Arabidopsis thaliana: one gene and its partner. The protein of the gene in region 2 interacts with the protein of the main gene of each other region in a pairwise test. Each region holds a gene or a part of one and is shown on either strand. Other genes may lie near its edges.

What was found.
Region 1: the proteins of AT1G20640 (region 2) and PP5.2 interact in a two-hybrid assay, tested with the Arabidopsis thaliana proteins (one large-scale study listed by BioGRID).

Annotation. Positions count from the first base shown.
Region 1 is NC_003071.7:17,806,961-17,823,815, forward strand, and holds PP5.2 (protein phosphatase 5.2), read right to left. Parts: upstream 9,813-16,855; 5' UTR 9,595-9,812; exon of another isoform or gene 9,190-9,594; intron 8,993-9,189; 5' UTR 8,937-8,992; coding exon 8,861-8,936; intron 8,753-8,860; coding exon 8,583-8,752; intron 8,508-8,582; coding exon 8,436-8,507; intron 8,080-8,435; coding exon 7,929-8,079; intron 7,760-7,928; coding exon 7,598-7,759; intron 7,259-7,597; coding exon 7,150-7,258; intron 7,071-7,149; coding exon 6,953-7,070; intron 6,680-6,952; coding exon 6,532-6,679; intron 6,374-6,531; coding exon 6,125-6,373; intron 6,035-6,124; coding exon 5,909-6,034; intron 5,815-5,908; coding exon 5,714-5,814; intron 5,629-5,713; coding exon 5,554-5,628; intron 5,436-5,553; coding exon 5,376-5,435; 3' UTR 4,975-5,375; downstream 1-4,974. Other genes in the region: RLP29 (receptor like protein 29), read right to left, coding at 1,197-2,585; HVA22F (HVA22-like protein F), read right to left, coding at 10,500-10,526, 10,626-10,878, 10,970-11,092, 11,170-11,196, 11,295-11,341; SHP2 (K-box region and MADS-box transcription factor family protein), read left to right, coding at 13,642-13,868, 15,925-16,006, 16,127-16,288, 16,377-16,424, 16,529-16,570, 16,661-16,846. UniProt on the Arabidopsis thaliana protein: Isoform 2 dephosphorylates phosphorylated phytochromes, with a preference toward Pfr forms, and enhances phytochrome-mediated photoresponses, probably by enhancing their stability and their binding affinity for light signal transducers such as NDPK2.
Region 2 is NC_003070.9:7,149,322-7,164,995, reverse strand, and holds AT1G20640 (Plant regulator RWP-RK family protein), read right to left. Parts: upstream 10,587-15,674; 5' UTR 10,447-10,586; exon of another isoform or gene 10,239-10,446; 5' UTR 9,907-10,238; intron 9,827-9,906; 5' UTR 9,796-9,826; coding exon 9,016-9,795; intron 8,935-9,015; coding exon 8,887-8,934; intron 8,813-8,886; coding exon 7,900-8,812; intron 7,804-7,899; coding exon 7,010-7,803; 3' UTR 6,709-7,009; downstream 1-6,708. Other genes in the region: AT1G20670 (DNA-binding bromodomain-containing protein), read left to right, coding at 1-459; ASG5 (Protein kinase superfamily protein), read left to right, coding at 4,974-5,073, 5,164-5,211, 5,302-5,456, 5,550-5,739, 5,840-6,231, 6,314-6,574; CAT1 (catalase 1), read right to left, coding at 15,387-15,540, 15,643-15,674.

The DNA of each region.
Region 1 (16,855 bases), on a different chromosome or scaffold from region 2:
CTATAAATTAAATTTGTTCATAGGATCTACAATAACACAATTAACATCACTTGTGTTTTTAAGTTATTCAAGCAGAGGCATAGTAATTGATAAAAATAGACAACAAGAAAGCATTTGAAACAAAATTACTGTTGTAAACAAAGCTTTTTCACGGTAATGGAATTCCGAAATAAAAATATATAAAAAAGAAAGTGACAGAGGAAATGTGTGAGAGAGGCAAAGGAAATGCAATATTTGCAGGAAGAAAAAAAGCATGAGAAAAAAGTAGGTGTGGATTTAGACACATGACTGACAAATTATATTTTTCTAGTTTCTCCTCTATATGGTGGTTTCTGCGTTTATCATGTTTAAATATATTTAAACCTTTCATTAGTCACATCACATCCCAAAAATGTGTACGATAATAAAAAGATTGTTTATATACCAAAATTAATTGGTTTACTCAATCATCTTTTTAATTTTGGTCATTTGATACGATCAATCATAGGGTGTCCTAACGTTAAGTTCGATGACGCTGCTACCTCTTTTGAGCGTACCATTCAGGGTCCTACTCGGCTACTCCTACATAATGAATTTAGCAAATAGCAGTTTAAAAACAAATTACGTTAGTTGATTAAGATAAATAAATTAGCTTAACACAAATTTGAAATGGTTAGTTGAAACTCAATTAACATTAATTTTTCTAGGTCTTCAATTTAGTTGCATGGTTAGACTTGAATCAGGTTGTGTCGTTTTATCAGACTCACTGCAAACTCTTTGTCCAAACTGCTCCCTTATTTTTGTTTATTACACTCTATGTATGTAAATTTTATAACAGATTTACTAGAAATTTAATTCTTACCCAATAGAAAACAAAAACGTCGTTTCATTTCATTTGTTATTTTCTCTTTTGTATACAAACACATATTTATACACACGGCTATGAAGTTGTTCAGGACCATTATGGATGACTCGAAATAATTTTATTAACAATCATATAAAAATCTGAAAATACTAGTATTATTATTAAACTAAAAAAAAAACACAACATTAACGTACATTGCTTTAATAGGAAACTAATACACATCAAAATCGACTCTATTAATTTATTTCCCTAGAAATCATCGGTCTACTTTGGGAACAAACACAATTCTTCTCTCTTTTTTAGGGATTTGATAAATATTTAATTCTCTGTCTGTTTTGTCTTTATCTCACTCTTAGAGAACCCATCGTTGATGTAAACCTAGAAACAGAGCAAACGGAAACAGAGCATTGGCGAAGAAGCAAGATCTGTAATACCGAGAAGCTTGAGATTTCTTCTTCGATGAATGCACCGATAAACCTCCACCACTACTAACGTTCTTCCCGCATACATCAACCCCGGTCTTGACAACACTAAACTCATCCTCCGGATTCAGACACAATCCTCTGTTCCCGCTCAAATCCAAGTTCTTACCCAACCGTCTTAAGAAACTTGAATCAAACGGAACAACGCCGATCAGTAAGTTCCTGCTGAGATTCAGATGGAAAACGTGTGGCAGAGACTCAAACCCTGATGGGATTTCGCCGGTTAATCTGTTGTTAGCAAGAGACAACGAGCTAAGGTTCGTCAATTTGGTGTAACTCTCCGGGATTACGCCGGAATATCCAGAATTCTCGAGCTGGAGCTCTTGAAGTTTAGGAAGAAACCCTAATTCAACGGGGAGAGCAACGAACATTGGGTTATTATCCATTATGAAGTACTGCAAACTCTGAAGGTTCGAGATTCCTTTTGGAAAAGCTCCCTTTAGTTTGTTGTTGCTCAACGCCATGAAAGACAACGAACGAAGCTTTTCTACACCTTCCGGGATTCTTCCGAAGAGAGAATTTGAGCTCAAGTCGAGTTTCTGAAGCATACCCAGTTGAGAGATCGTTGGAGGGATTGTACCGGTTAAAGAATTGTAGCTTAAATCTAAGCCAACGAGGTTATTTAGATTCCCTAATTGCAGAGGGATTTTACCTGTGAGCTTGTTGTAGCTGAGATCGAGGTGTACGAGGCTTTTCAATGAGAAAATCGCCGGAGGGATATCTCCGGTTAATCGGTTTTGTGAGAGAGTGAGGATTTGTAAAGATTTGAGAGAAGAAATGCGAGGAGGGATTTGACCTGAGAGAGAAGGGTTTGATCTGAGGCTAAGTTGTTGAAGAGAAGAGTTAGGGATGAGTTTTATAGGGAACATGATTGTGGTTGGGAAGTGAGTGAAGCAGTTGAAGAAGAAGACTGATTGGAGAAAAGGGAGAGTGAAGATTGAAGAAGGGAAAGAAGCAGAGGATTTACAAGAGGGGTTTGGAGCAGAGCCGAAATCGAGTCGAGAGACGTGTGATAAGTGGTCTGGACCGGTTTTGCACTCAATGCCTGGCCAAGATGAGCCAGGTGCACAAGGGTTTGGGTGGGATTGACGCCATTGTTGATCAGAAGACATTGATTCCATGATCTTGAAGAGAGTTTCTGACTCAGATGGAGGCATTGAGGCAGAGACTCTGTTTTCTTGGCAGAGGAAGAGTGGTGTTATCAGGAGAAAGAAGAAGAGCAGTGAGGAAGGAGATGGTAAAGCTCTCTTCATCGTCATAGGTTTTGGTGTAAGAGAGAGGAAAGAGAGAGTGTGTGTGTTTCTTGGTGATATTATACTGAGAATTCATAAAAGTTCTTCATTCTCCAATGCAAAAGAAAATGGAGAGATGTGACGTTAATTAGAATCTTTGAGGAGGAAAAGTATAAAAAGTGAGATTATATCATCATCGAGGAGCAAAAACCCAAAAGAGAAACTTAGGAAAAGGTTAAAAGAGTTTAAGTGAAATGTTTAAGGATTAGGGACAAGACAAGACAGAGACACGTGAACAATCAGAATCTAAACAAGGTATGATAAAAGAGTGAAGACTTAGAAGAAAGCTAGTAAAGAATACGAATAGGTTTTGAGTGTGTGAGATGCAATTATAAATGGAAGTGACTGAAAGTGACACGTGTGGGGTAGTGAGAGACAAAGAGGTAGGGACTCAAGTCATGAGATTGGGAAGAGAAAGAGAAGACACAAAATTAAAAAGAGTACTTGATGGGTTTTGTAAGGCCATACACACATGTTTCTTCTTTATTCAAAACACTTTTCTTCGAACCAAATTTTGAAGGACTTGTCTTTGTTGGGAGGTAGTCTCGTGAATACGTTAGCTCCTCGAATCTCTCAGGTTCTGTGGAGCGGCTTTCCTGTTTTATGTCTCTCTCTCTCTATATATATATATGTATTAGTTTCTAACCATGTACTATTTTTGCATACTCTATATTAAAATGTACAATAAAGAATGTGATTTTGTATGATCCAAGTCTATTGCAAAGGAAGATAGTCCTCACACATGTATGAAATAAGATGAGACTAACGATCTTAAATAGTAAACGCATGGATCTATTTATTAATTGGTGTTAAATTTTGGAATCTGAATACACACTACTTCAAACCGATATGAAATTGTTATGATTGATCCAATCCGATATTGATCCTAGAATGAGATTCTTTCTGGATGAATAATTAGTCATCATCTCAATGTGACATGTTAGAACTTATACATTAACTTTGAAGAAAACTAGTTTAAGAAAACCAATTCGTAATCAAGATTTGATGTAAGATGACCATCTGGTTGTTGGTTCAAAAGAGAACACACCACATGACAATCAAAATGTATAGTTGGTACAAACTGTTTCAAAAATCACCCAAAATAGTTTCTTCACTGTTGACAAAATAGTTTCATTCTTTTTCTATTATTTCAAATCATCTTTTCTCTATAGATATTTGTTATCAATAAAAACTACTAATAAGGAAAAACTCTTGAAAAGTGGTGGGCATAGTATGTCTCTCTATTTACTGTCTTCAATTATTCATGTCTTTTTTTCAAAATTTCTCTGAAGTTTTACTATTCATAGTTTGAATTGATCCAGACAAAATCATAGTTATTTGTAACTTAAATACAGAAGAATTGAAATACATTTGACAACCCCATCAAGACTTTTGCAAACAAAAAAAACTCAAAGAAACTTGTTTCTGTCCTAGGATTATTTTTGTTGTTGTACCTTAGAATGTTATGAATATCTTACGACATAACGGTTATTTAAAACAGAGAAAACATCATTTTGTAAGAAGTAAAAAAAGAGGTTAAAATTTGAACGTTAAGAAATTGTACTACACTTGGCAATATGCAGCAGATGTTTTGTAAGACAATGTACAATGTATTGTGATGTATATGGTCTGGTGTGTATTATATGTAGTCAAGGATCTAATCTTAAGCCTGGACTGTGAGTCTGAAGAGGTAAATTCAGAACCTACTATTTACCGTACGGATCTAGCTCAAGCATGCCCTACACCAAAATTAAAAATCCAACGGCCATAAAACTCACTTGATTGGTTACAAGACTTTAAAACCGGTCAACACCATAATCCAAATTTCTAGCTACTTCCCTTAAACATCTGACAATTTTTGTAAATTGTTTTTATGTAATCCACGTAATGCTTTCTCGATCTCTCAGGCCTTTCATCAGTGCTTTACGATTTGACACCACTCCATCTACTTTTGCTTTCTCCACATTTTAGTACATGTATCTATCTATCTATCCATGCATGGACTAAAACAAGGTTTATGATTCTGTGATTCAGTAGTGGTTTGTCATCGCTAAACAAAAGCACATACTTTGTCAAAATTCTCTGCAAAATTCATGGGAGAATCTGCAGGTATTTTGATCTGAAACAGCTCATGTAAGAGAGTGGGGAAAACAATAGTGTTATTAACTTTCTTTAGACTGTTGTATTTAAACAGGTCACACCATTTGTACAAACTCAAATAAGGGAAAAACTGAATCTACACGAGAGTAACTGTTGCAAGAACTCAACACTATTGACCTCTCTGTTTTTGTTTGCTGTCTTTGCTTGAATATTTGAATTAAACTCCATTCAAAAAGACTCTAAGAAGCAGACAAGAAGCTTTAAAGAAACACCTTTTGATTTTTGATTCAAGAAACCATTTTAAGTACAAAGTTTTGGGGGGTCATTTGGTCACTCTTTTGTTGAGTAATCACAAGATTTTCATCTAAAATAAGAATGATACATTACCCCCTCTTACAACATAAGACAAAAGGGACAAAAGTTGCTGGATAAGCTTAAAGGAAGAGTGAAAATCTTTATCAGAAAAGAAGGAAGAAGAAAAAAAACGATCAAATCCGGATACTGTACCTTTAATTATCATGGCCTCCCTTTTCTGGAACAACATGAAAAAACTGCAGAAGATAAAGGGAAAAAAAAACTTATATCATTATGTTTCTGAACCACTTCTGGTCTTGAGTCTTTAGAATAGCATTTTGAGTAGAAGAAGCTTTTTGCTGGTTAGTTGAACATCCTGAGAAAGTTGTTTGCATATGCCATAGGCTTCACATCCGGATGAGGCTGGGAAATAACAATATCAGAAAATTAGAAGAGTGTTTGAATGAGTCTAAATCAAACCGTGAACTATCTTCTGTGAAACATTCATAAGAACAATGCTATGTAAGAGGACTACACTCACCACTGCTGAGAATGTAACAATGTTTGGCTTCATATCAGGAGCTTCAAAACGAATGAAGGCTCCCTTATTACCCATCTACAACAATACCAGTCCATGTTAAGTAAAGAATCAAGTAACTGGGTGCTGTTTTGAAATAAGAAGACAGGAGTGTCTGAGTTACCTGATCACAGTAATTTGGCGCAGAGAAGACAGTTATGAGTTTACCGTCATGTTCAACCTCATAACCTTCATCTTTTACTTCATGTGACCGGACCAACAAATCTGCCACAATCATGAAAATGCAAGTTAATAGCTATCTCAAGTAAATATTAGTTTGCGAAACCAAACCCCGATAATAACAAGACAGTGAACTAACCTAAATTGTTATCTTGCAAAAACCTCTTTGTCACATCTCCACCAAATGATAGACCAACTCCTCGCTTGCTTGGGCCTCTTCCAGGGAGAGGTTGAGGATCACTCCACAATAGTTCACACATTAGTCCTGCATAAACCATTAGCAAGATAAGATGATTAAACAGAACACAATTACATGAGAAGTAATCTTACAGAAGATGTATATGATGAAACATACCTTCCTCTGGTGGCTCACAGAATCTGTCAATGGCTCTGATGTCTGAGAGTTTCACGCCGTCAACACTGAAAAGACCTCCATGTACCACGAAGACCTTCCCATTTATAACATGAGCCAACGGGAGGTAACAGAAAACTTCAGCAAAGAGATCCACGAATTTTTCACTCAACTTGGACCGAACCTCACCCTCAAAACCATAAATTTTGTTCATGCTCTTGCTTTCATGGTTTCCTCTGGCTAGATATATGGCTGCAGTACAAAGGTGTGTAAATGGCGATTTACAATTAAAATGGAAACTTTTAACCCCATCAGACAATAGTAAATAATTTAATCCTTGCCAGTGATAGCAAAAGCAATTAAAACATGAACATCAAAGAATTATTACAACAAAGTTTTAGAGAACTTACATGATGGGCACATGCACTTGAAAGCAAACAAAGTGAGGATGATCTCAACGGAGAATGAGCCTCTGTCCACAAAGTCGCCATTAAATAGGTATGGGTTCTCCTCCGAAGGGAGGCCATTAAGCTCAAAGATATTGAGAAGATCGTAGAACTGCAAAAGCAAACAATGTGTCAAACATACACCCAATACAACACAATACAGCCCTTAATAGTGCAAGAGGGAGTAGAAGGTTAGCCAATAAATTCAAGATATGAAAAGTAGAATGATTCATAATAAAATCCAATTCCAGAAATATAGTATGGGAACCGGTTTATTGAAAACTTCTACATATATAAACAAGAGAACAGGAGATGGTGGATCCTCGCAGATTCATTTGAGACATTAAAATATTATGTTCGGAGAGTAGGTGAAACCAAAGCATACCTGACCATGAACGTCACCGCAAACAGTGATATGTTTGCCATGTGGAACACTTATATCAACAAGAGAAGGCAGTGCTAGCAAGATTTGCCTAGTCTGTAAGACGATTTGATAGGCATACCTACATATAAAGTGCCCGCAAAGCATGAACATATGGTAACTGTGTAAATTAAGTTGAGTACCCCCAAAACAATACATACCGTTTATGCAATGTTTTTTGGTTCTTAAAATCCTCCATCATCGTTTTCACAAAATCTAAGGTAACTTCCTCTCCCTCAATTCTAGCACCAGAATATTGTGGCTCAACCTCTACAATAAAATTGAAAAGAATAAGTAAATTGACAAAAGGTTAAGAACTCTGTAACAGTGAACACCATTTATCAATGAATATTAAAAGCTACAAGTCATGGATACACATTTTTTACAATGTAGTAAAAGAGGTATGCTATCATAACAAAACAAAAATAGAGATATTAGTAAATCTATGAAATGTTCCACTCCTGTTGAGATGTTTTTGACATCAATATCATTGAGCTTTGTCAATTCTCAACTGAGACTCCAAGAAAGGAAACTATCCAGGTTTTGATATGCATGAAAACAATCCACATTGATCCTAGGATGAGGGTTTAACCAGAGAAAAGACACTACTACCACTGAAGCTACCCCACCAAAATGTCCCTAATACCACCGAAACCAACACCATGAGTATCTCAGTTGTGGCAAATCCCCGGACCGCCACCACCATTACTGCTGCAACAACTGCTGCTAAAGCCGTTTTGGTGGGCATGGATGATGATCTGGGTTTGTTCCCTATTATGTGACAATAGGTAGAAGAATGATTACTAGTCTAAAGCTACATTCAACCATTTTTCAACTACTGAATCAAAGGCATGGCATAACAAGAGACGAAAGAACCAGGTGACACAACAAACTGCAAGCTATAAGACAACCAAAAAATAAGCAAACAGATGAAGGATACCTATTGTATGGAAGTCAATGGACTCAGCTACTGAACGCCTTTCAGATACTGGCACAGAGATTGCTTCTTCAAATTTGAGTTTCATCACTGCTTTCTCACATTCCTTTAGCTTTCTTGTGGCATCAGGGTCATTAGGAGAAAGCCTTTTTACCTAAAATATATATAGCAGACCAAGTCAACAATACCATACACGCTAGTCTTGCTTAAAAGATCAAGACAGTCGACCACCAAACCAGATTTTGACAGATAACTATCACTCTATCAAGTTTCCAGGATCTAATCACTTGATCAGACCAAAACAATCAAGTTATGACCATTTGGGTGGGTTCAAGCTATACAAGCCTACAACATTTCATCTATAGTATTTTGACATTTCTCAACTGAGCTGATCCTCACTCAAAAAGTTTAGAGTAAACTAGAAAGAGGACTATCAGATCAGCAGCTAACAAATATAAACGAAAGAGACAACAACTTAAATGGCACAATGCTCGTGCAAGAAACACTAACCTGTTGGAAGTCCTTCAAGGCATCCTTAAATTTTCCCATGGCAAGATACGCAGCACCACGCCTGTAATAGCCCTGTGATTCAGTAGATAATCAGTGAATATGGCTGAATACACGAAGAAACAGGAACATCTTGTCACAGGATGATACCTTAGAGTATCTTGAATCAACTTCAATGGCCTTCGATGCATCCTGTATTGCACTGCCATATTCCTCCAGTTTTGTGTGAGCAAATGCACGATTTGCCCAATACACAGCGTTGTTGCTGTTGAGTTCAATAGCTTTTGTATATAGATCAATAGCACTGGAGTATTTGTGACCTGTAAGCAACAAACAACATTAAGCAAAAAGATAGGAGTACCTCACTAAAAGAGTTGAAATAAACTGATGCCACAAGATTATGTAAAGGTTTATGATAAATTACACACCTTTAAAAGCTTCGTTGGCCTGACTTTTAAACTCCTCTGCCCGTGAAACATCAGAATTCTCATTCTTGGTCTCCATGTTGTCAGGATGAACTTATCTCTTACTGAATTCCTTATTATCCGGTGAAGCCACAACTGATTGACAGAAAATATGTAAAGTTAAGGTTTTATCTCAGTCATGCCCAAATGCACGATAGCAATAATCATAATCACTTGGCCAATTCCTCATCAATAAGTTTTCTACTTAACAGGGAGCTAGTTTAAGAGCTTTAGACATTGAAATTATACTCAACCTAAATAAAGTATAGATTTTTCGTAATACAGCCACTGACTTTAGTCATGCAACGAGATACATAGGAGGAAGAGAAGTCATTCACACAGAAAAACATTCCTACACATTAATGAACTTGAAAAACGCACATAACTAAATCCAGCTAAGAACACGAAACATAACAGATAAAAAAGCATTAAGCGAATAGATAAGAAGCAAAAAGTTGTGAACTTTCAAATTCTGCATCGTTTTCATAACAGCTCAACAACGAATTAGAAGAATAATCAGAATCGTGGCCGTGACAAGTGGAAAAAATATATCACTTACAAACAAATTCTGTGAAAGGATCTATTAAAACCCAGATAAGAGGAAAGCAGAACTGGACAACAACAGAAGGAAGCCAGCGTTTAAGACATGTTTTGTCGGGAAATCAGAGAAACTCATTACTCTAAAGATAGATTCAAACCTGAAAAAAGATTCAATCTTGGCGACAGCGGGAGAGGAAGAGGTTGACGAGGAGTGAGACAGGTTTTTTAAGAGAAGCTTCAAGTGACTAGAAACCCTAGATTAGATTGGTCAAATTAGAGTATACGCTTCAATCTATGAGAAAAGAGGGGTTTTTGGAAATTATTAATGTGTGTTCTTTTCTTTTTTTAAGTTGAACAAAATAAAAAATAAAATTATTAATGTGTTTTTTTTTGATAAATTGGAAATTATTAATTTTGCGCACTCAATTCTTTACCAATTAAATTAAATAAATGGACGAAGAGATATGTAGACTTGTATTATCTTTTTCTGACGTCATATATCAATTTTTTATGTATGGTTTGTGGATAGAGATGGACAAATAATAATAATCACGGATCTCAGAGTATTAAAGTATAGAATATAGATTAATGACCCTAACAAAATTAATCACATTTTTTTTACGTCATATGAATTACATTTTTTTTGTCGTTATATGAATTACATTTAAAAACTTCCAAAGATGTGATTTTATTATTTTACATAATTAAATTAGAATAAAATTAGATTTAGGAAATTAGCAAAACACCAATTGTGATATAGCGCGAGCTTGAATTTTATTTTTATTTTTATGTCAAAAAGAGTGTTGTATTCTCATTTTAATTCGAATCGTGTCCTGATGTTTTGTTTAATCAAATTGAGACCCATCCAAATGTATGTTGTCAAAAAGAGTTGGACTGGCTTCTCTAATAGTATCTTTGGTCATAGAGTACTAGAACACAAATTTGTCACCATAAATCTTTCAAACATATATATCTTTTTCATTATAGTATTGCTCTATACAATCTATGTACATACATGTACAAACCAAAGAGTAATGTTTTTCTTGACTCTTGATCTTCCATCTCAATGCTTTCTAGTTTCTTTTTCAGCCTACATTTGAACACAAATAATGAAGTTAAACTCCCAGAATATATGTATTGGATTATATATACATAACTATATTAAAGATCAACAAGAGAAATCATATACCGCTTTGATTGCTTTCTCAACAGAATCCCATCCAAACCGGTCAACGTAGTCTTGAACCGATTTTCTAGCATCAAGACTCATCATCTGTAAAACTCTTCTTTGTTCGTCTGTATAATTCGTTCCTCCTCCAACATTCATCCCAATTTTGACGTATTGTCTAACAAAATTGGAGTAAATGTAAGCTGCACCACTGAACATTGGTAGCACCAACCACATACAGAACAAAAGCTTCAAGTATGGCCAAAATGGTAGCCTACAATATGCAAAAGAACACCATTTTTTTGTCTTTATAGGCATAAATTTTTGAATTCGTAACAGAATTTAGTGAATAATATTGTAATTACCAGGCAAGGACTCTCCAAACGGATAGCTCGAATATCGTTATTAAAGAGTAAATGATCCAATATGTAAGCCATTGTTGATCATCTAACATTGTTGGACTCTCTATTGCTCGAAATGATGCATACCTAATCATTTATTCAGTTAACTATCAAGTTGCATTTGTAAAAACCAAACATTTAAATTCAGATTTGATATCACTTACAGAGGATAGAGAAGCATGACTCCAGGCCTGCATGCAACAAGAAAAAGGAAGAAAATAATGTTAAAAATTTGACAAATATAGTGTTTATTTTTATTATATGAGACAGAATTTGAATAAAATCCTACCCAACTAGAGCATCAAAACGTTTTGCAATCGCAATAATGAAACCCATTTTCTTTTTGAGTTTTTACTCTTCTTTCAACAGAAACTTTCTCAAACGTCTTTAGCACTGTGACGTTGGATATATACACAAAAGCTTGAAATTTCTTCAAGCAAAAGAATCTTTGTGGGAGTTAAGGCAACAAGCCAGGTAAAGAATCTCCAACGCATTGTTACGTTTTCATGAACCTATTTATTATATGTTCTAAGAAGAAAAAAAATATCTCAAAGTAAACGTTGGAAAATTTCTGATGAAGGGAAATCCAAAGTCTTGGGTTTAGTATCCCTATGAATGGTATTTGGAATATGTTTTCGTCAAAACAAAAGATTCTTTTCTTTTTCACAAGAGTTAGTGATCAATAACTTATGCACTAATTAATGAGATTGGACGTATACACAATTTGATTATGATACTTGAGTAAAAATCACCTGTCCTTTAATTTGGAAATCTCTCTTTCTTACCCATTTATATACTACTTCTTTTCATTAAAATTAAATTTCAATTATCAATCATCGTTCAATTTGATAAAGATTTAACATTTTTTGTCACAGGGCTAGTAAAAGCAATCTTTACATAATTCATCTTTCTTACATATATATATTACCTTTTTCTTCATTAGTATTCTATTTGATTATGATTATTTTGTCATAAAGCTAGTAAATTAAACACTCGATATGAGAATTATATTACTTCACGCTAATTAACTCTTAACACAACAAGAACTAGTGCATATTCAACTTTCAAAGCATATACTATATATTGAGAATATAGACCACGAAAGTCAATCAAAAGACCTACCAGCTCTCATCAAGTTCTTTCTTGAAATGATTTTGCAGAATTTCCAACTTAATTAATTCGACATGAATGTGAAAATGTGTGTTGCTCGTTAAGAAAATTGAATAGAAGTACAATGAAAATGATGAGGAATGGGCAAAACACAAAAGAGTTTCCTTTCGTAACTACAATTAATTAATGCAAATCTGAGAAAGGGTTCATGGATAATGACTACACACATGATTAGTCATTCCCCGTGGGCTCTCTGCTTTCATTTACTTTATTAGTTTCATCTTCTCTAATTATATTGTCGCATATATGATGTAGTTCTTTTGTCTAAATTACGTAATATGATGTAATTAATTATCAAAATAAATATTCAAATTGCCGTTGGACTAACCTAATGTCCAAGATTAAGACTTGAACATAAGAATTTTGGAAAAACTAAACCAGTTATAATATATACTCTTAAATTGCCATTTCTGAACACAACCAAATAATAATATATACTATTTACAGTTTTTTTTAATTGGCAAGAACACTGAAATCTTATTCATTGTCTCGCTTGGTAGTTGACAAGTTATAACACTCATATTCATATAACCCCATTCTAACGTTGACGACGAACACTCATATAAACCACCCAAATTCTTAGCATATTAGCTAAATATTGGTTTAATTGGAAATATTTTTTTTATATATAAAATGCCAGGTAAATATTAACGACATGCAATGTATATAGGAGTAGGGCAATAAAAAGAAAAGGAGAATAAAAAGGGATTACCAAAAAAGGAAAGTTTCCAAAAGGTGATTCTGATGAGAAACAGAGCCCATACCTCTCTTTTTTCCTCTAAACATGAAAGAAAAATTGGATGGTCCTCCTTCAATGCTCTCTCCCCACCCAATCCAAACCCAACTGTCTTCTTTCTTTCTTTTTTCTTCTTTCTAATTTGATATTTTCTACCACTTAATTCCAATCAATTTCAAATTTCAATCTAAATGTATGCATATAGAATTTAATTAAAAGAATTAGGTGTGTGATATTTGAGAAAATGTTAGAAGTAATGGTCCATGTTCTTTCTTTCTTTTTCCTTCTATAACACTTCAGTTTGAAAAAAAACTACCAAACCTTCTGTTTTCTGCAAATGGGTTTTTAAATACTTCCAAAGAAATATTCCTCTAAAAGAAATTATAAACCAAAACAGAAACCAAAAACAAAAAATAAAGTTGAAGCAGCAGTTAAGTGGTACTGAGATAATAAGAATAGTATCTTTAGGCCAATGAACAAATTAACTCTCTCATAATTCATCTTCCCATCCTCACTTCTCTTTCTTTCTGATCATAATTAATCTTGCTAAGCCAGGTATGGTTATTGATGATTTACACTTTTTTTTAAAAGTTTCTTCCTTTTCTCCAATCAAATTATTAGGGTTCTTCAGTTAATCCTTATAAACCATTTCTTTTAATCCAAGGTGTTTGAGTGCAAAAGGATTTGATCTATTTCTCTTGTGTTTATACTTCAGCTAGGGCTTATAGAAATGGAGGGTGGTGCGAGTAATGAAGTAGCAGAGAGCAGCAAGAAGATAGGGAGAGGGAAGATAGAGATAAAGAGGATAGAGAACACTACGAATCGTCAAGTCACTTTCTGCAAACGACGCAATGGTTTACTCAAGAAAGCTTATGAGCTCTCTGTCTTGTGTGACGCTGAGGTTGCTCTTGTCATCTTCTCCACTCGAGGCCGTCTCTACGAGTACGCCAACAACAGGTACACATCTTTTAGCTAGATCTTGATTTTCTTGAATTTTTTTTCTAGAATAAAGTTTCGACTCTTCTGGTGGGTTTTTCAATCTTTATGGTCTCTTTATAGTTTTTTTCCTTAGTTTCTCTGAAGCTCAAATCTCTTTAAAAATCCCCAAAATTAGGGTTTGTTTAAAACTAGGGAACCCTACTTTAACTTCTTTCTCTTAGTAAAAAAGCAGTGAGGGTCTTCTCTGATCATTAATTAGCATCCCCCATACCTTGTTCCAGTCACTTTTTCTCCACAAATCCTTATAACAGTATCTATATATGTATCTATTTATGTCAGTTTGTACAAGACACTTCGATCAATTTGATGACCCATCAAGTTTTATTTCTGCAGATTGATCATTAGGTTTCCATCATAGTAATGAAAAAGTAGGGTTCTTGATAAAATTATAATAATATATATTATTTGGCTATATAAAAAAGCTATGTAGATTCCTTCAAAATTGATTCACTAGGGAGAGACTAGTAGGTGTTTGTCTTCTGACACTTCTCTAATCTTTTGGTGAATCCTTTTGTTAAATCAAGAAAATGAATCAGGGACAAAGCTTATTGTTGAGTCACTTAATTAATCATCCGATCCATCAATCAAGAAAAATAACGAAACAGAAAATTTTGATTTTTGATTGTTATTTTCTCCACTTCAAGTTGGGGACTTGTCATTTCCGTTTTTCTATACGTTTCCAGCTATTAACAGCTCATGTTCATTTCACCATTTTGATTATTTGTCTGCTTTTTAAAGATAAATGTTTTCAAAAATATTGTTTTTATTTGCTTGGCTAGTTAATACTATAATTGAGGTTGATGTATGACTATAATCTATAAGTCAAGTCTCATATCATGGATCTAAGTTAAAACTAGTAAATTTGTAGTTTCAATGTGAACTTTCACAACGACTAAAGAACTGATCTGAAGTTTATAATGGACATGACTAATTTGATTAACAAAAGAGGAATGCATTATGTATGTAGAAACATGTGATATATATATGTTTCTATTATCAAAAGTGTAGTTAACTTTCTTATTTCAAACACCCTCATGCTTTAGTAGTATCTTACTTTTGACATTTCTCAACTTCAGCTTTCCATTATACAACAGCACAATGTAAATTACTTGTATATGAATATGAAAGCATAACGTTATGCAAAGATTTCTAGCTTTTCTTTTTCTGTTTTGCAAAAGATTTACAAATATCATGTTCTTGGTAAAAACATACTTGCCTCAGCCACATATGCATGTAAATGTAATGTTCAAATATTAATTCAGGAAAAACAAATGAAGAAGCAAAATTAGCTTCTAGAGTAGGGAATCTATTGACTTGACCTGAAAATCACTTCTTTTTCTTAAAGCCTAGTAGTGAATTTTTTAATCTAATTAGGCCAAAATATATACTAGCCTAAAATATAATTTGGATTTTGTGTCGTACATAAATTGGGACCAATTCCAATTAACTAAGAGCATATGCAATTCAAATTCTTTTTATTTTCTTCTCCGATTTGCTACTTCTTTCTTTTGTATGTTTTCAAATTAGGATTACACTTTTTTGGGGAAGTACACATTAGGGTCTTCTCGAACTTTGATTATACATATATATATATATATATAACTTTGTGAGATGTCACTGTTAATAGATAATAGGCAATAACAATAATATCCCAAAAAAAGAAGGGCAAACAAATCATATACTATATGGTACTGGTCCATTCACTATTTTGTCGGTTGAATTTAAGGTTTTGGGCGGACAAAACTTTATTTTCAAAACCTTAATATCCGTCTTTCTGTGTGTTTTGTATATCCAGAAGATAAAAATATCAATTTCTTTAACGACTTCATATATATATATTTTTTTCTCTTCTGGTTTTAGTGTTTGAATCCAACAGTTATAGTTTCGTGTGTCTTTGTTTTACTTGTGGTGGTTTAAGTTTGAGATTTTCACCGATTGCATCTATTTACATATATAGCTACCACAAAAAAGATTGCATTTTAAAATCTTTTCCTTTGTGTGAATGTTGATGAAGTGTGAGAGGAACAATAGAAAGGTACAAGAAAGCTTGCTCCGACGCCGTTAACCCTCCGACCATCACCGAAGCTAATACTCAGGTTAGCTTTTAATTAATACACCTAGCTAGCTAGTTCGTTAATTACTTAATTTCTTCTTCTTTTAGTTATCTGACCTTTTTTTCACCTCTTGTAACAATGATGGGATCGAAATTGATGAAGTACTATCAGCAAGAGGCGTCTAAACTCCGGAGACAGATTCGGGACATTCAGAATTTGAACAGACACATTCTTGGTGAATCTCTTGGTTCCTTGAACTTTAAGGAACTCAAGAACCTTGAAAGTAGGCTTGAGAAAGGAATCAGTCGTGTCCGATCCAAGAAGGTACAATCACTAACTCTCCATCAATCTCCTTATCATTGAATATATATCCATCTGATTCTTGCCCGTTATATTTGGTTTTTCTCTCCAGCACGAGATGTTAGTTGCAGAGATTGAATACATGCAAAAAAGGGTAAAAGTAAAACCTATCTTCCTTCACAAGTAACTTACCCCCTACTTTATTAGCAACTTCTCTTTCTGATGATCATCTTTTTTTATTTTCTGTTGTCGCTTGCATTGTAGGAAATCGAGCTGCAAAACGATAACATGTATCTCCGCTCCAAGGTTTTATACATAACTCTTTTTGGCATTTTTGATCATCATTTTTTTCCGGTAGACAATCTCTTGATGTGCAAATTCTAAATATCTCTGCAGATTACTGAAAGAACAGGTCTACAGCAACAAGAATCGAGTGTGATACATCAAGGGACAGTTTACGAGTCGGGTGTTACTTCTTCTCACCAGTCGGGGCAGTATAACCGGAATTATATTGCGGTTAACCTTCTTGAACCGAATCAGAATTCCTCCAACCAAGACCAACCACCTCTGCAACTTGTTTGATTCAGTCTA
Region 2 (15,674 bases):
AATGACTTAGCGTCTGATGATCATTCTAACAGAATCCTGTCTCCAACCGCTTCAGTTTCAAGTGCTTTCATAGGAAACAGACATGCTTCCTCTCAAGCCATCGAAGAGACCACACCACCACCTGCTCGTGTCTTGAATCCAGAAATCGATCACCCATCCTCCTCCTCTCACCAAGCAGGACTGCTAATCAAAACAGAGAGCAGCAACGGCCTCATCCGCGGATTCAACCATAATGCAAATCAGATGCTCGGAATTGCTAGACAGCAACAACCAAACGTAAGCAACGAGGCCACACCGGTCTCGCAACAACAAGGCTCATTGTTTCCTTACCCCAAACAAGAATTCCACCGGTTTCCGCCAGACCTTAACGCTAGGCTAGTCTCACCAAACTCCCCGGGCTCTAATCAGCAGACTGGTTCGTCCTCGTCGCAGCATCCGGATCTGGCATTACAGCTGTGAAGATGAGTATTGGATATTTGAAAGAGGAAGAAGAGGCATTTTCCATTGGCTATCTCAGCCAAGGATTTTCTGGAATGAAATCTTGTGGAAAGTCAAGGCTTATTTGTTGTGACATGAAAATATATGGGACAAGTCTCTCTCTATTTGTACAGATTGTTGCAACTTCCATAATTTTTTTAGGGGTAAAAAGAGAAAACAAGAGGGAAAAGAAAAACCACAGGAGTCACGCAGGCTGTAGAATATATAGTTTATATTTTTTTCTCATTTTTCTAGAAATTTTCAGATATATTTTCGTATGTCCTAATCTTGGCCATAAAACAAAGTAATGTTAGGTTTGTGTCCTTGGCATTTCACCTTTTGTAAGACTTGTCAGTTTATTTCTTGCAAGACTTTTGACGGCTTCGATTTTCAAGTTCCTCGCTCATGGGAACTCTTGATTTTTTTTTGCTAAGATAGTTAAAATGTTACAAATTGTTAATTATTTAGTTACGATATGCTGGTATAATCGATTAGTGGAATCACTTGAAATTTAGATAAACGGTATGGATTTGTTCAAATCAATATTTTTGAGCTTATGATTGACCATCAAATTCTACATTATTACATTAGAAATCTGAAAATCTAAAATCTTTAAAGTATTATATCTCATTAAATCGTAGTAGATTTATTATATATCAAAGTGTTCGATCGTTCTTCAATGGTCTTAATTTGAATTTTGTCTAGAGAGGGGCTCACGGCATGCATCACGGGATTTACATGAACGTCTCTGTTTGGTGGGTCTCGACGTCTCGTGATATTTATTTTCCTCTCAAACCCTTGGTTTATTCTCTTCACCACTAATAATCATGTAAGAATATTAACATTTATCCCGTTCTTGGATTCCGATTGTACATTCGTCAGGTTCGATTTTATAAGTATGTAAATAACTTTTTTCGGTTTATAATGATTTGCTCTGTTTATACTAGTTTTTACTTCTTTTCTTGAATATCACAGCTACAAAAGAAGCATGCAAAATGACGTAAATGTTCTTATTTATAGATAAAATCACCAACGACGTCGTTTTCAATAGCCAGCTTCTGAAAACGACGTCGTTTGAAGATTAACTCCTGAGTTACGTTTTATGCCATCTTTGTATATCTGAAAAGCCCTAGGTTTTTTTTTAAATCGTCGAGTAGACTAGCTAGGGTTTATCTAGGGTTAATATTAGAGGATGGTTAAGACCGGTTATGTTTGGTCTTCTCTTGGGTTACTCAACAACGAATATGCTTTAACAGATGCTGATATTGTGCATCGAAAGATAGAGTTAGATCTTCTCAAATGTATAGATTTTCCTGAGTTTACGGGTTCTGTTGTAAAGGCTCTGTATTTATGTTGTACACATTCGATCGTGATCAATAACACAAACAAATTGATCTCTGAAATTTTTCAGTTAATGATGAAAACACGGCGCAATACACGATCGATCTTGTTCGAATTCAAGGAAAAGAGAGGAGAAAAATTCAGAAACGATCCCGTTCGATCTCGTTATCGAGATACTCACGAGATTGCCGGTGAAGTCTATAGCGAGATTTCGTTGCTTATCGAAGCTATGTGCTTCCACACTTAACAATTCAGATTTCACCGAATCGTTCTTCACCATATCTTCGTCACGCCCGAAGCTATTGTTCACCTGCCCCAAAGACGGTGAAACATTCTTCTTCTCATCACCAAAGCCTCGTGATTCTTCTCCTTTAGCGGTCAATTTTCATATGAGCTTCTCTATTAATCATCTCTGCGGCATTTGCCGTCCTGTTTGTGGCTTCATATATGGATTCAATAGTCATACGAGAATTTGAAGGGAAGAACAATTTCTAAGCCACTGATATGTAACCCTAGCACAGGCGAATCCTGGCCCTTACCAAGAGTGAAAACGAATAGAACTATAATCACAAGCTATTTTGGGTATGATCCGATCAACAAAGAGTTCAAAGTATTGTGTATGACCAAATCAAAGTTTGGAGTCTTTGGCGAGCATCAAGTTCTCACATTCGGAACTGGAAAAGAACTCTCATGGAGGAAGATCAAATGTGACATGGCACATTATCCTGATGTTGTGGATTATGAAGCTAGTGGTTATCCTCGGCCTCTATATGATGGGATATGCATCAATGGTGTTTTGTATTACCTAGGCCGAGTTCATGATGACTTAGACGGGTTTCCTGATATAGTTTGCTTTGACATTAAATTTGAGAAGTTTAGTTATATAAAGAAAGCTAATGGCATGAAACGTAACTCAGGAGTTAATCTTCAACCAACTCTTGTAAACCACAAGGGTAAAATAGCTAAACTCCAGGCAAATATTGGTCCTGGCTCAATACGATATACAGGAATTCAACTATGGGTTTTAGAAGATGCCGAGAAACATCAATGGTCGAGTTATATCTACGTTTTGCCTCCTCCTTGGAAGAATATAATTGAGGAGACCAAGTTACGATTTGTTGGAACGAGTGACACGGGGGATATTGTGTTGTCGCCATGCAATATCTCCAACTCTTTCTACCTTCTCTACTACAACCCCGAGAGGAACGCTATCACGAGAGTTGAAATCCAAGGAGTGGAAGCCTTCAAGTCTCATAAATCTTACGCCTTTCTAGACTATGCAGAAAACATTGTTAAGCCTAAGCCAACTCGTAAGTTGTAACGTACCTAGTCCATGTATCTTATTGGATTGCTGTTGCCTTTTGTTTTTTACTGATAGTATCTCTCTTCTCTTAGCATGGTTCATACACTTGTCAGCCATGGTTGTTTTAAGCTTAAATTTTTTATTTTTATTTCCATGAGCAAACTTTGAGAATTTAGGCTTTGATGAGTTCTATGTTAGTCATCATCCGTATGTAAAAAAAAAAACTACAATAGAGCTAAGAAAGTTAGTTTAAGAGCGAGATTGTAGATGGATTAAAATCATGCGAAAATGTAAAGGTAGACTCTAGATTCCAAACGAAACCATCACATATATTTCTAATCCCACAAGAAAGACAAAATGCATCATATCGTTTTTTTAAAAAAGTGGACATATAAAACGATATTTTTTTCAAACAAAAACTAAAAAAAATAATAACAGTTTTGAATGCATGGTTGCATGTTAAAATTAAAATAGTAGTTGTGTTATATATATATATATATATATTTTTTTTAATAAATAGCTATGGAAACTAAAAGGAAGATTTAATGGAAACACATATGCCATTAGTAGCAGTAAATTCACAATAATGTTATTAACACAATGCAAAAATATGGAGGACACATAAAAAAAAGAGTTTCAAAAGTAAAAGGGCGCTCATAATAATTCTCTCTTTTGGTTCAAAATTTTAATTCCATCAACATGCTTTAAATTGTAGATGTGTGAATGGTAACAAGATCAACAATAATGTCATAAATACGAGAAAAAAAACCAAAAAAAAAACAGCTCGATGATAAAAAGAAGGAAAAGAAGCAAAGATATGATAGAAAAAGATAGGTGAAAAATTCCAAACATATCAGCTAATAATTGATTGATTTATAAAGTAGCCATTATTATTCTTATGATGATAGATACAGAATTTACTAAAACGGTAAATAAAGTCAAATGCGGGGAAGGCAGAGGACAGTATGTGTGACCCACTGTAATACGTAAGGTCAAGATAATCTAATCTGGACCGTCCATTTGTCAAAATCTCGACTTCAAAATCCACTGTCGGCCTCATGGGTGTTCTCTTACAAACACTGTACTGTTAGAGGGTACTATAGTAATTTAAACCAAGCGTGGTTATCAGAGAAGAGAAGGGGACCAAACCGGTTTAAATGCCAGAGAAGAAGAAGAAGAGTTTAATTTTGTGGGAAATTTTTTTAAATATCGATTTTTGAATAGAAGATAGAGAATGAGTAAGAATTTAATTTTCTTTATTGAAAAAAATGGGACCGAGTTGGAAAAGAACAAAACGAAACTCGTCGTCTTCTACCACTTAAATATTTTTCAGTAGCTCCAACTAAAATAAAATAAATGAGAAGAACAAAAATTCAGTTGTTAAAATCAAAGTAGTGTCTCTACCGTGATTTTTATTTTTTTCTATATACTGTTTAAACCTCAGTTTTTTTGTTGTTGTTATAAGATCCTTGTCATTTTTTGTCGTGATTAGATGTAATTTGTATAATTTTAGTAACTCTTCAGTTTTTTTTTGTTTTAAAAATATATTTTCTCTCTCTCTGTCTTCCTGCAATCTATCGCCGGCCGATTCAATAATTTCGCTTTACTCTGCCAAAAAAGTTTGTTCTTTTGTTTTCTGGGATTATCCAAAGAGAAGAAACAGAGGAAATCAATCTCTTTTTTAGTTTCAGACCCTAAATCCTAGGTTTTGAAGTTTTGTTTCTTTAGTAATTTTGTCAGGTTTTGTGTCTGGTGTTGGGATTTTTCGGAGCTTGGTTTCTTGAACCAGCTCCATTTTCTAAAAATTCCTTCTTTAAATCCCCATTGTTGTAAGTCTTAAAGAAAAAAGAAGATGACTTGTTGTTTCTCTTGTTTGAATCCTCGAACCAAGGACATAAGAGTCGACATTGATAACGCTCGATGCAACTCTCGTTACCAAACCGATTCATCAGGTACTTTCATGTCCACAATTCAATAACTTTCATTGTTTTTACCTCAAAAGTTTTCGTTTTTGTTTATAGTATTTTTCTTTGTGGTTTCAGTTCATGGAAGTGATACAACAGGAACAGAGTCGATTTCGGGTATCTTAGGTGAGTCGTGAGTGTTTCTTGATTATGTCCCTTTTATGGTGTCTTTTTAACACATTTTTTGAGAATAATTTCTGTCGGAATTTGGAACAGTAAATGGTAAAGTGAATAGTCCGATACCTGGTGGTGGAGCTCGGAGCTTCACGTTCAAGGAGTTAGCTGCAGCTACAAGAAACTTCCGGGAAGTTAATTTGCTCGGAGAAGGAGGTTTTGGCAGAGTTTATAAGGGACGTTTAGATTCAGGACAAGTCAGATCTCTCTCTCTTCCTCAAGCCCTTTTAAAGAGAAACTCTGTTTTTAATGAGCTTTTGATGTAATTTGATATGATTTGATGAAAACAGGTAGTGGCTATTAAGCAATTGAATCCAGATGGGCTTCAAGGGAACCGAGAGTTTATAGTAGAAGTTCTTATGCTTAGCTTATTGCATCATCCCAATCTCGTTACATTGATCGGTTACTGTACTTCTGGTGATCAAAGACTTCTTGTCTATGAATACATGCCAATGGGAAGCTTAGAAGATCACCTTTTTGGTTAGTTTACTTTTACTCCATTGTTCTTTCAAGTGTTTTGTTGTAACTATCTTAAGAATGTTCAGTTTCAAATGTTGTACTCTTTTGTATGATTTTTCAGATCTTGAGTCTAATCAAGAACCATTAAGCTGGAATACTCGAATGAAAATCGCGGTTGGTGCAGCTCGAGGAATAGAGTATCTTCACTGCACAGCTAACCCGCCAGTGATTTACCGTGATTTGAAATCCGCAAACATATTGTTAGATAAAGAGTTCAGTCCAAAACTCTCGGATTTCGGATTGGCGAAACTCGGTCCAGTTGGTGATCGAACTCATGTATCGACTCGTGTCATGGGAACTTACGGTTACTGTGCTCCTGAATACGCAATGAGCGGGAAATTAACTGTTAAATCGGATATCTACTGCTTCGGTGTAGTGTTGCTTGAGCTGATTACTGGGAGAAAAGCTATTGATTTAGGTCAAAAGCAAGGCGAGCAGAATCTTGTTACTTGGGTAAGAAACTTACTAAATCGATTACAGCGTAATACCTAAAATCCTACTCCAGTTATAACCAAAACTTTTCTTATCTTTGCAGTCACGTCCATACCTCAAGGATCAGAAGAAGTTTGGACATTTAGTGGATCCGTCTCTACGAGGAAAATACCCAAGACGGTGTTTAAACTATGCGATTGCGATTATTGCAATGTGTCTTAATGAAGAAGCTCATTATCGACCGTTCATAGGTGACATAGTTGTGGCACTAGAGTACTTAGCCGCACAGAGCAGATCTCATGAAGCTCGAAACGTCTCATCACCGTCACCAGAGATTTCAAGAACGCCGCGACGAGACTTGTAAAAACTCAAAAACAGCTTTTAAGAATTTCAGTTTGGTGTTGTGTAAAAATGGTTTTTTTTGTTTCTTTCTCAGAAAACAATATATGTTTGGTAAATGTTTCGTTATTAGTCTCTTTTACTTGATGTATATGGCAATTATGGAAACAATTAAAGTTCTTTTATATGTGTATCTACATTTGAAAACCACATTCGAAAGGAATTTCAGAAGAAAAAAACAACAACTTCAATTTCTCAGGAAGATAGGATCTTTACATGTTCTTCTCTTCTTGTCTCTGGTGCGTTTTTAAAAACAAAACCCAAAGCACCTCTCCTAGTAATCTTTCAAAAAAACCAAAGATAAAATTATGAACAATTATAACAGAACACAAAGGTATTACTATCTTTTGTGTCATGTCCTAAAACGCTTCTTTTTCTTTCTTCTTTCTCTGATTTAAGGTCAGTGCCATAAACTGTATTCAGTAGCTGAAGAACGTTCAGGGAAATGATGAGAAGAAGCCTGAAGCAAAAGCTTAATGGTATGACTCGGTGTAGTTCTGCAGACATCTACACACTCTTCTACATCTTCGTCGCAAGTCAACAAAACCCATTCATTGTCTTCGTCTAAGTACTTTAGATCATACCTGCTCATATCCTCTATGCTAAACCGCTTCCCAATCTCCCACAATAGATCTCTTAACCTGCGCGAATTCCGCATCCGTAATCTGATCTTCTCTTCTCCGTAGCTAACTTTAATCCTCAGAAAGTCATCATCTTGAGATGATAACAAGTTGGTGCCTTGAGGGATGTTTTCTAAACTGGAGAGAGTCAAAATTGTCTCGTCAAGACTCGAGCTTTGAAGCTCGATTTCGCTGCTCGTCTTCTTCAATGCACCTCCTACATCAGTTGAAGGAGGATCGGTTGTTGCACCGCTGTTTAGTTGGGTTTCACTGGAGCAACATTGGCTAGAGTTTGAACTGTGACTATACGAGGATACAGGGGACTTTGCAAGCTGCACTGGCGGCGGAGGAGGAGGCGTGGTCTTGGCTTGTTGTGATGGTTCTTGTGACTGTGAGACTAAATTGGGGAAATTTGCATAGAATGAGCCTATGGGAAGAGGACCAGAAACACCTTGAACCGAATCAATCACTCGTTGGATCTTCTGCAGAGAATGTCCCACTTTTTTTATCTTTCTTGAAGGCCATCTTTGTATACCATGCTGTCTGCATATTCTCTTCAAGGTCGTTGGACAAACTGAAAATTTCCAAGACAAGAAAAGGGCAAAAAGAAGAGATCAGTCTCAGGACTTTCCGATAAATTGAATCGAGAAGATAAAAAAATGCTGCTTACCACCGATATTCTTGGCTGCATCTTTCAAGCTCCCAGCGAAATACTGTCGAAGAACATCCAAAGTGATGGTTTTATCTGCTTTTGTACGCTTTTTCTCGGCCATCATACTGAAACCACCACTAGAGAAAGTGCTGCTCTCATTGACATTAGAATCCATGGTGTAGTCAAAACCTCTTTTTAAGCCAAAACCATCATTTGGTTTGTCTCCTCCATCAAATACCAGTCCAAGATTCTGAGGATTACTAGTATTATTACTCCGCTGGATTTCTTCAAGAGAGGCATTCCATGGGGAATTTCCGTGGAGTTCAGATGCGTTTTCTATCTTTGGCGTTACTATCTCTTCCCTCTCTATCACTTCACTCTCTTCTTCTAGTTCTTTGTCTGTAACAGTCCTTAAGCTTCTAGGCACATGAGCCATAATAGTTGAAAGAGCATTCAACATTTTCCTCTGTTCCTCCAGATCATCGCAGTCTTTAGGCAAAAAGAACTCTAAGACGAAATCAGCAGAGCCCGTGTGGATGCACCGCAGGCGAATTGCAACCGCGCCATGTAAACCGTACATATTAGCATGGTGAGAGAGAGGGTACTCTGATTTCTTGTAGTTAGATACATCAGATGAAAAGCAAGGTCCATTGGTCAAGAAGGCTTGACCTGCAACTCCTTGGCCTTTCAAGAGGTGATGCTCAGAGCAAGCTTCATGGAACTCACGAACTGTTGGATCACCAACGTAGCAAGCATCATCAATGGTTGATACGCAATGGATGTAGTTCTCATCGTTGTGACGGCACCCGCTTTTGTTTTGCTGTTGACAAGAAACCCATGTCTGAGCTAAAGGTAGTTTATGAGTCTCACAAGCACATCTCAAGAGGTTTCGGATTTCAGGTAAGGCAGCTTTGTAGGATAAGTCACATCCCTGAATAAAGAAGAAACAATCTTGTTTATACCCAAAAGCTGAACATAAGGAACTCATGTAGTTTCTTTGATTACCTTTAGAGAAGGTGGAATCGGAAGCTCGGTGCTCCTAAGATCAACTGCCTGCAAAAAGGAAACACATTCATCACTCTCAGAAAACCATTTCTATAGCAAAAGCTGAAAGCTTTAGAGAAGAACACAAACCTGAAGTGCTCTGCAAATGCTTTCAAGCTCAGGTCTTAGTTTAACCATCTCAGTGGTCATTACAACCTCAATAACACCCAAGCAAATCTTACTACCTTGTTCAAACACCGGAATCGCCAGCGTTCCACGGACATCGCAGTCCTGAGCATGGTGTACTCTCGGATACTCCTCGCTCTTGAAAAACCTAACATCAGGAGTCCATTCAGGAAGCTTCCCCAAGAAAACCCTCCCAGGCAAACCAGCTAAAGCCTTGGAATCATCTTGCTCAGCAGAGAAGTGATAATTCACAGAGATCTCTCTATAGTTTGCAAGTCTTTGACACAACGGATCATGGCTAAAAGGTTGTTCCTTTGTGGTCAAAACTCGCTTACCGCCTCTATTAACCGGAACCCATAACTGAATAAGTGAGCCTCTCGCTGTTGTGTAATCTTTAATGTGTTCAACTGCTTGAACCAACCTCTCAGTAACCGAAGAACCACCACCTCCTGGTCCAATCCACCATCGTTTGTTCCATTGAAACTCATCAAGACTAGATCTTTCTACACAATCCTGACCATACATCTGAGATACAACTCCTGATGTGCAAAGAGCTGATGTATCTTGAGTTGGAGACCACATGAAGGAAGTTGGATCAAAAGGGCTAACAGAAGAAGTTGAAGGAGCTATGTTAAGAAACTCAGATCCATCTGTAGTCTCTAACCAACAACCATCTAGTAACAATCCATCCATGAAGTCAGCGTCCATAACCACGTTCTCAGATTGAAGGAAACTATCTTCCATGGATATATCTCCAAAATCAATGAAGCAACATCTGCAAATGCGAAGCACCCATTTTCAAAAACAAACAAACAGAAGGTCGTGATAGGACTAATGTGTATAGAATTCACCAACCGATAAAGTAGGAAATTGAAGGGCCCAAATCAAAACTTAACACGAATCAAGCACAAATCTTGTCTAAATCTAATTCATGAAGACAAAATGAAACAATCCAAAGTAGACACACAAAAACAAAAACTTTTTGTTTGAATCCTTCAAGCTGGTCAAACAATATGGCTCAATGAAACACAAAAAAAAACGAACTTTGAACTAATCAGCTTCGTTTACAATGAAAAATCAAACCCTTAAAAGAGAAACTAGATGGAAAAACTCACAAGTCAGAGAGAGATTCTCAAAGATTCCTTCCTCAAGTGGGTTTTTAAATTTCCTCTGTTGCAATTTGTTGTCTGAGATAGAAGGAACAGATATGAAAAGAAACCCAAATCTCAAAACCAAAAGAAACAAGGAAAAGAAGAAAGCTTTAAAGATGTCTGATGGGGGTTATGTGGTACTACTTCTTCACGGAAGATGAAAACAAAAAAAGATGAAATTTTTAAAATGAAAATTTTGTGGATCGTTATCTCATTTATGCATCGGGACATGGCGAGACCTTACTATGAATTTTGTTTTCATATAGTATCACATTACTCTCTCTCTCTCTTCCAGGCTGCTTGGGTTTTTTTGACTGGAGGAGAGATAGAAGATTCCTCCACTTTCCAGAGAGAGAGAATACAGACACAGAGGGAATAAACAAATGACCAACAACATGTCTCCCTGCAGTGAATTTCTATTTATGTAAAAAAGTCAAAACCTTTTTTTTTTTGTTTTGTTATAGCAAATAGAATTTCACCAATAATCACATTTTGACTTTTTTACATAAATAGAAAATTCACAAGAATTTTAAACTATATGTAAATAAAAAGAATTTGGAATATCTCATTTGACAATTGTTAACCAGAATTTTAAACTATATGACTGAAATATTAAGATAAAAAAAGAAATAGTAAAAGCATTTTTTTTCTTTAATATTAAGATTTTTTTCTAAGCTGACTAAAGATTAAATACTTTGTTGTTTAATACAATCAGTGGTAGAATAAGATCCTAATTTAGTTTTTGAAAAAATCAAATATAATGGCTGTACGTATCTTTAAAATATACCAAATATCTGATTTCGCCAATTTGTTCAAAAGCTTATTGAATTTGGAGACTGATTCTTCAACATTTTATTATGCTGGTGATGACCAAAGCGAATCGTTTTCGATTTTTAGACGCTTTGTTGCTGTTTGAGGATAAGTTAATAATTATTCATGTCCTACAATTGTCAATTTTGTTACATGTTGTTATAATCTTTTTATAATTATGAAAAATTAAAGAATCTTTAAAGGCCACTATTATACTCTTTATAGCCTATAGGCTTATTTGGAGAAGTTATAGAGTAAATAAAAATAAACGAGTGGGGGAGTAGGTTCTTCCCTCAATTTGATCAGAAAAAATATATTAATCTACTCAAATTGACAATATAAAGTAGTTCAGTGAAACAAAAGTTTCTATTTAGTGGAGGGTATTGTGTAACCAATACCATCTTCTGCTCGTGAATAGATTCCACCGCTAACGAATAAAAGAAATATTTATTTGGTTAGGCAAAACCATTGATTATTAATATACTTTCGTTTTAAAAGTTTTATGATAGTTCGAACCGAGTTCTCACAAAAATGAAGGATGTTTTCATTGTTTGAGCTAGAACAATTCATCAAAATATGTTTTCAACAATCAACATATACGTTTCTAATTAGTAACCACATAGTAAGAAATGAATGAATTTTGTGGATTTGTGGAACGGTTTAATCGATGTGGAAAATGTTTTTCTAAGAAAGGTTGTGGAAAGCGGTTCAATTATGCTTTATTATGTTTCCATGTTTTTTTTTGCTATAATCATTTGTATAGGTCAATAACTTTTGACTGTAAATCTAATCTGTTTTTATTTTATTTTATAAAATATTTACATTTTTAACAAAAAAAAAAGAAGCGGTTTAATTATTGGAGTCATTCCAAAAACATTCAAATGCTCAAAAAAAGAGAAAAGGACTTGTAAAAAAAAATCAAATTTAAGAAAAGATTTGGTTGTGATCAAGTCAAGTTATATAAGAGATTATTCATGGTCTGGTTATAATATGGTACAACAAACTGAGAAGGGAGAAAAGACAAACTGAATGATGCTTTAAAAAAGGGGTATGATAGTTTTCAGGAGGGGAGTTAGATTGGACGAACAAATGTGAAATCCACATTTACGAGTGAGTGAGAGGATGATTTTATAAAAATTTACATAATTCGTATTCGGTAGGGTTTCATGATTATTAGTTTGGATCACGTTAGTTGTAGGACAAAATAGCTTTTGGCGGATGGGATATATATAACATGAATAAGTACTCTAGTGTTCTAGTCTAGTATCTCATATGAAAATATTTTTTTTTGTACGTAACGGAAACGAAACGAAACGTAACATAACAGAGAACAGAACGTAAATTAAGTTTATTCATACAAATTTAATTATACGTAACAAGGAATATGTTTATACTCGCAAGTGTTTCAATCTACGTTCACAGGAAGCGCAAAGCTAAAAAGACGAAACAAGTGGTGCATGACTGCGTTTCCTCCACTTAGGTTTTGTCTAACGTATTCTCTAATTAGGTACACTCCACATAATATTTACTCATGACTTCACATTTTCAATCACATTCATTTATCCCTTTTTTTTGCCAGTAGTAAGTGTGTCACACTGTACATTGTTTTATTCCGGTCCTACTATAAAAGAAGTTGGATTTTGATCTTCAAAATGGATTTTTACTTTTTATTTATATAGGTCCAAACTTAAACATGGATTTTTATTTTTATTTTTATATAGGTCAAAACTTAAACATGGATTTTTATATAATTGTATAATTAGTGGACTACCGAAATGCTAGAGTTTTTTTTGTAAAGAGTTATTTATTTTATTTGAAATATTTATTTAATCAGTGAAAAATTACTTAACAAAATTTAACATTTTACCAAGGATAAAGCTAATGACCAACTTTTTCGTCTAATATTCAAATTAGAAAAATATTCAGAATTCATCATATATGACACGTAGTTAAGATCTAAATATCATCTTTTAGTTTTAAATATGGTCAACTTGGTTCTCTAATTGACTGAATTATATAGTGCTTTCTAAATAAAATAAAAAGATATTTATTTGAGAATGAATTGAAGATGATGATATATATTAGTCAGCATTAAAAAGTTTTCGTTAGGTCACTCATATGGGCTGTTGGGAGTTTTATATATTTTGATGAAACAAAATGCAACACTCCTCCCATACGTAATATTTTCCTTCATTGTGAAGAACTCTGGACAAAAAGACGATCACAAAATTAACTATCTTTCGTTTTTTTTGTTTCTCTGTGGAAGAGACCTCTTTATATAACTTCTAATCTTCGATCAGGTTTGTATGTACGAAGTGTCCGGTTAGAATTTAGATTTTAGATTTTTGACTCTAACTAAATTTAGTGGCTTATTTGAATAAAATCGAAGTTAGGGTGATTTTGGATGGCTTAGATAAACGCTTAGACATCTGAAATTTAAAACATAAGATCTTATGTTCAAGTTTAGCAACCCCATGTTGAAATGTGTATAAATCACATCAATATTTAACATATGGTATAAAGGCGTTGAACTAATTACTGATCCCGTCATGTATAGTGGAGTGTGATTTGTTTGTTGAACTTCATAGGATAATAGAAAAACAAACAATATATACAAAATTAACTGTGGATTACAAATAATTGTGTTCATATATCTTATCCACTTATATAAACTAGATACCATGATACTTGAGCTTAAATAATTGATCACATCCGCCGAACACAAATCATGGTCACATCCACATGAATTCTTTCATTACTTTTGTTTGAGATTTAAGTCCCAACGGGTAAATTGGAATCTTGCACTACTTTAATTGTATATAGTTTATTGCCTAAACAGCCAATAATCAGTTTCACAAACAAATAAAATATAACTAAAAACACTCCAATAATCAGAAAGAAACCAATAGAACTGCAAGGAAAACAAACTTTTTTGAGTAACCAATGAATTTTTAAACTTTGCAAATACAAAAGAAGATTCTGATTACACAATTTTAAATTATGATCCGGGCAAATAGAATCTCTTTTCATAGGGCTTTGAAACGTATAAAAAATGATTAATAGTTGGACATTGATAATAGAGATCCCTTAATATAATACACAAAAAATGAGTCCTTAATTGCAAAACAAAATTAGTATAAGGTTGGCCGAATCATTAACTTCCACGTCAAATAATTGTGATAATTTTTGCACGTCTTGGTTAGGTATAAAACCTATATACCTTATTTTTGGGGTACGGAGACGATATTATTTATGTTGAGTACATTTGTTGGTAGACCTAGACGTAGGTCCACGAAATTATACTCTTGCATTATACACCTCAAAACTTAGATATTTACATAATTACATTTTATCGTTTAGTATAGTGCTTAAGTTCCGTCACATGCAATCAAAGTAAAGTCTTCTTGATTTCGTCATCAAGATATTGACTTTTCCTAAATGGATCCGAGATCTTGTTAACGACAACCAAAACACGTTAAATTTGTTATTGTTTTTCGTTAAACTGCAAAGTTATGAATTTTAAATGTATAAAATCCTGGACCATTAGCAAACACAGTTCACTATACCATTTCATTGGATAAATAATCTCTTAAGATGCGTAACTTCGATCTAAAATCTTCGCACACTACCACTTAACAAGTTGTAAAAAAAAATATGAGACTGAAAAATACATGAGAAAAGGATATTATTGGTGATTAAGTTTGATGTGGCTCCATGTGTCTAATTTCTGATTTGCGCTGAGGTTCTCTTTAAGAAAAGAAACTACTGGCTGAGAGACATCAGATTAATCAGACTGTATTAGCTGATTAAAAGTTAAGCGCAACAAAGTATAAGCATAATTAAAATTGGTCTGCTCTCATTATTCTTTTTGCATTTCCACTAGCAGCGGAATAATCAAATACTCCACCCCCACTTACATGTAAATTATAAATTATGAATGCGATGTAGCATCATAACGATTGACCAATTAAAAGGTCTGACGTGATGAGTGATGACTATGCCAATTTATCAAAATATGGACAGACATAAAACTTTTTTATCAAGATCGTGCGTCTGACATTAGACCCCAATAAAATTCCAACTATAAGCTCACGTCATAGATGCAGAAGATTAAAATACAAATAAAAATCCATTTTTAAAGTAGAACCAAATGGATGATAGTGATACTTGTTTACTAAGCTATATTAGTCATAGCTTTTTATTTATTTGCCTTAGAAAATAATCGTTAATATTTTGAAAAGAAGATTACAAACAGGAACTAGTACCCTTCTTTAAGCGTTTCATTGTCAATAAACGAGATTACTTAGAAACCAAACCGTAAGAGGAGCATATTGAGTTTATAGGATTTCACTTAGTCTTTAGAGATGATATCATTCAGAAGTTTGGCCTCACGTTAAGACGAGTTGCTAGTTTCTGTCCCAGAGATTTGTCTGCCTGAGACCAGTAAGAGATCCAAATGCTGCGGATTTCGTGCGTGACACGAGGCTCCGAAAGCGCTTCAACAAAACGCTTCACGAATCGTTCTTGCCTATTGGTACAAAACAAAAGACCATTAGAATGAATTATGACATTTGTGGTTCATGTGTAATTGTTGATTTTGCAATGTGGTTTTTGAGTTTTTAGTGTTTACCTGTCTGAATCCCAGGACCGGTATCTCTCCCC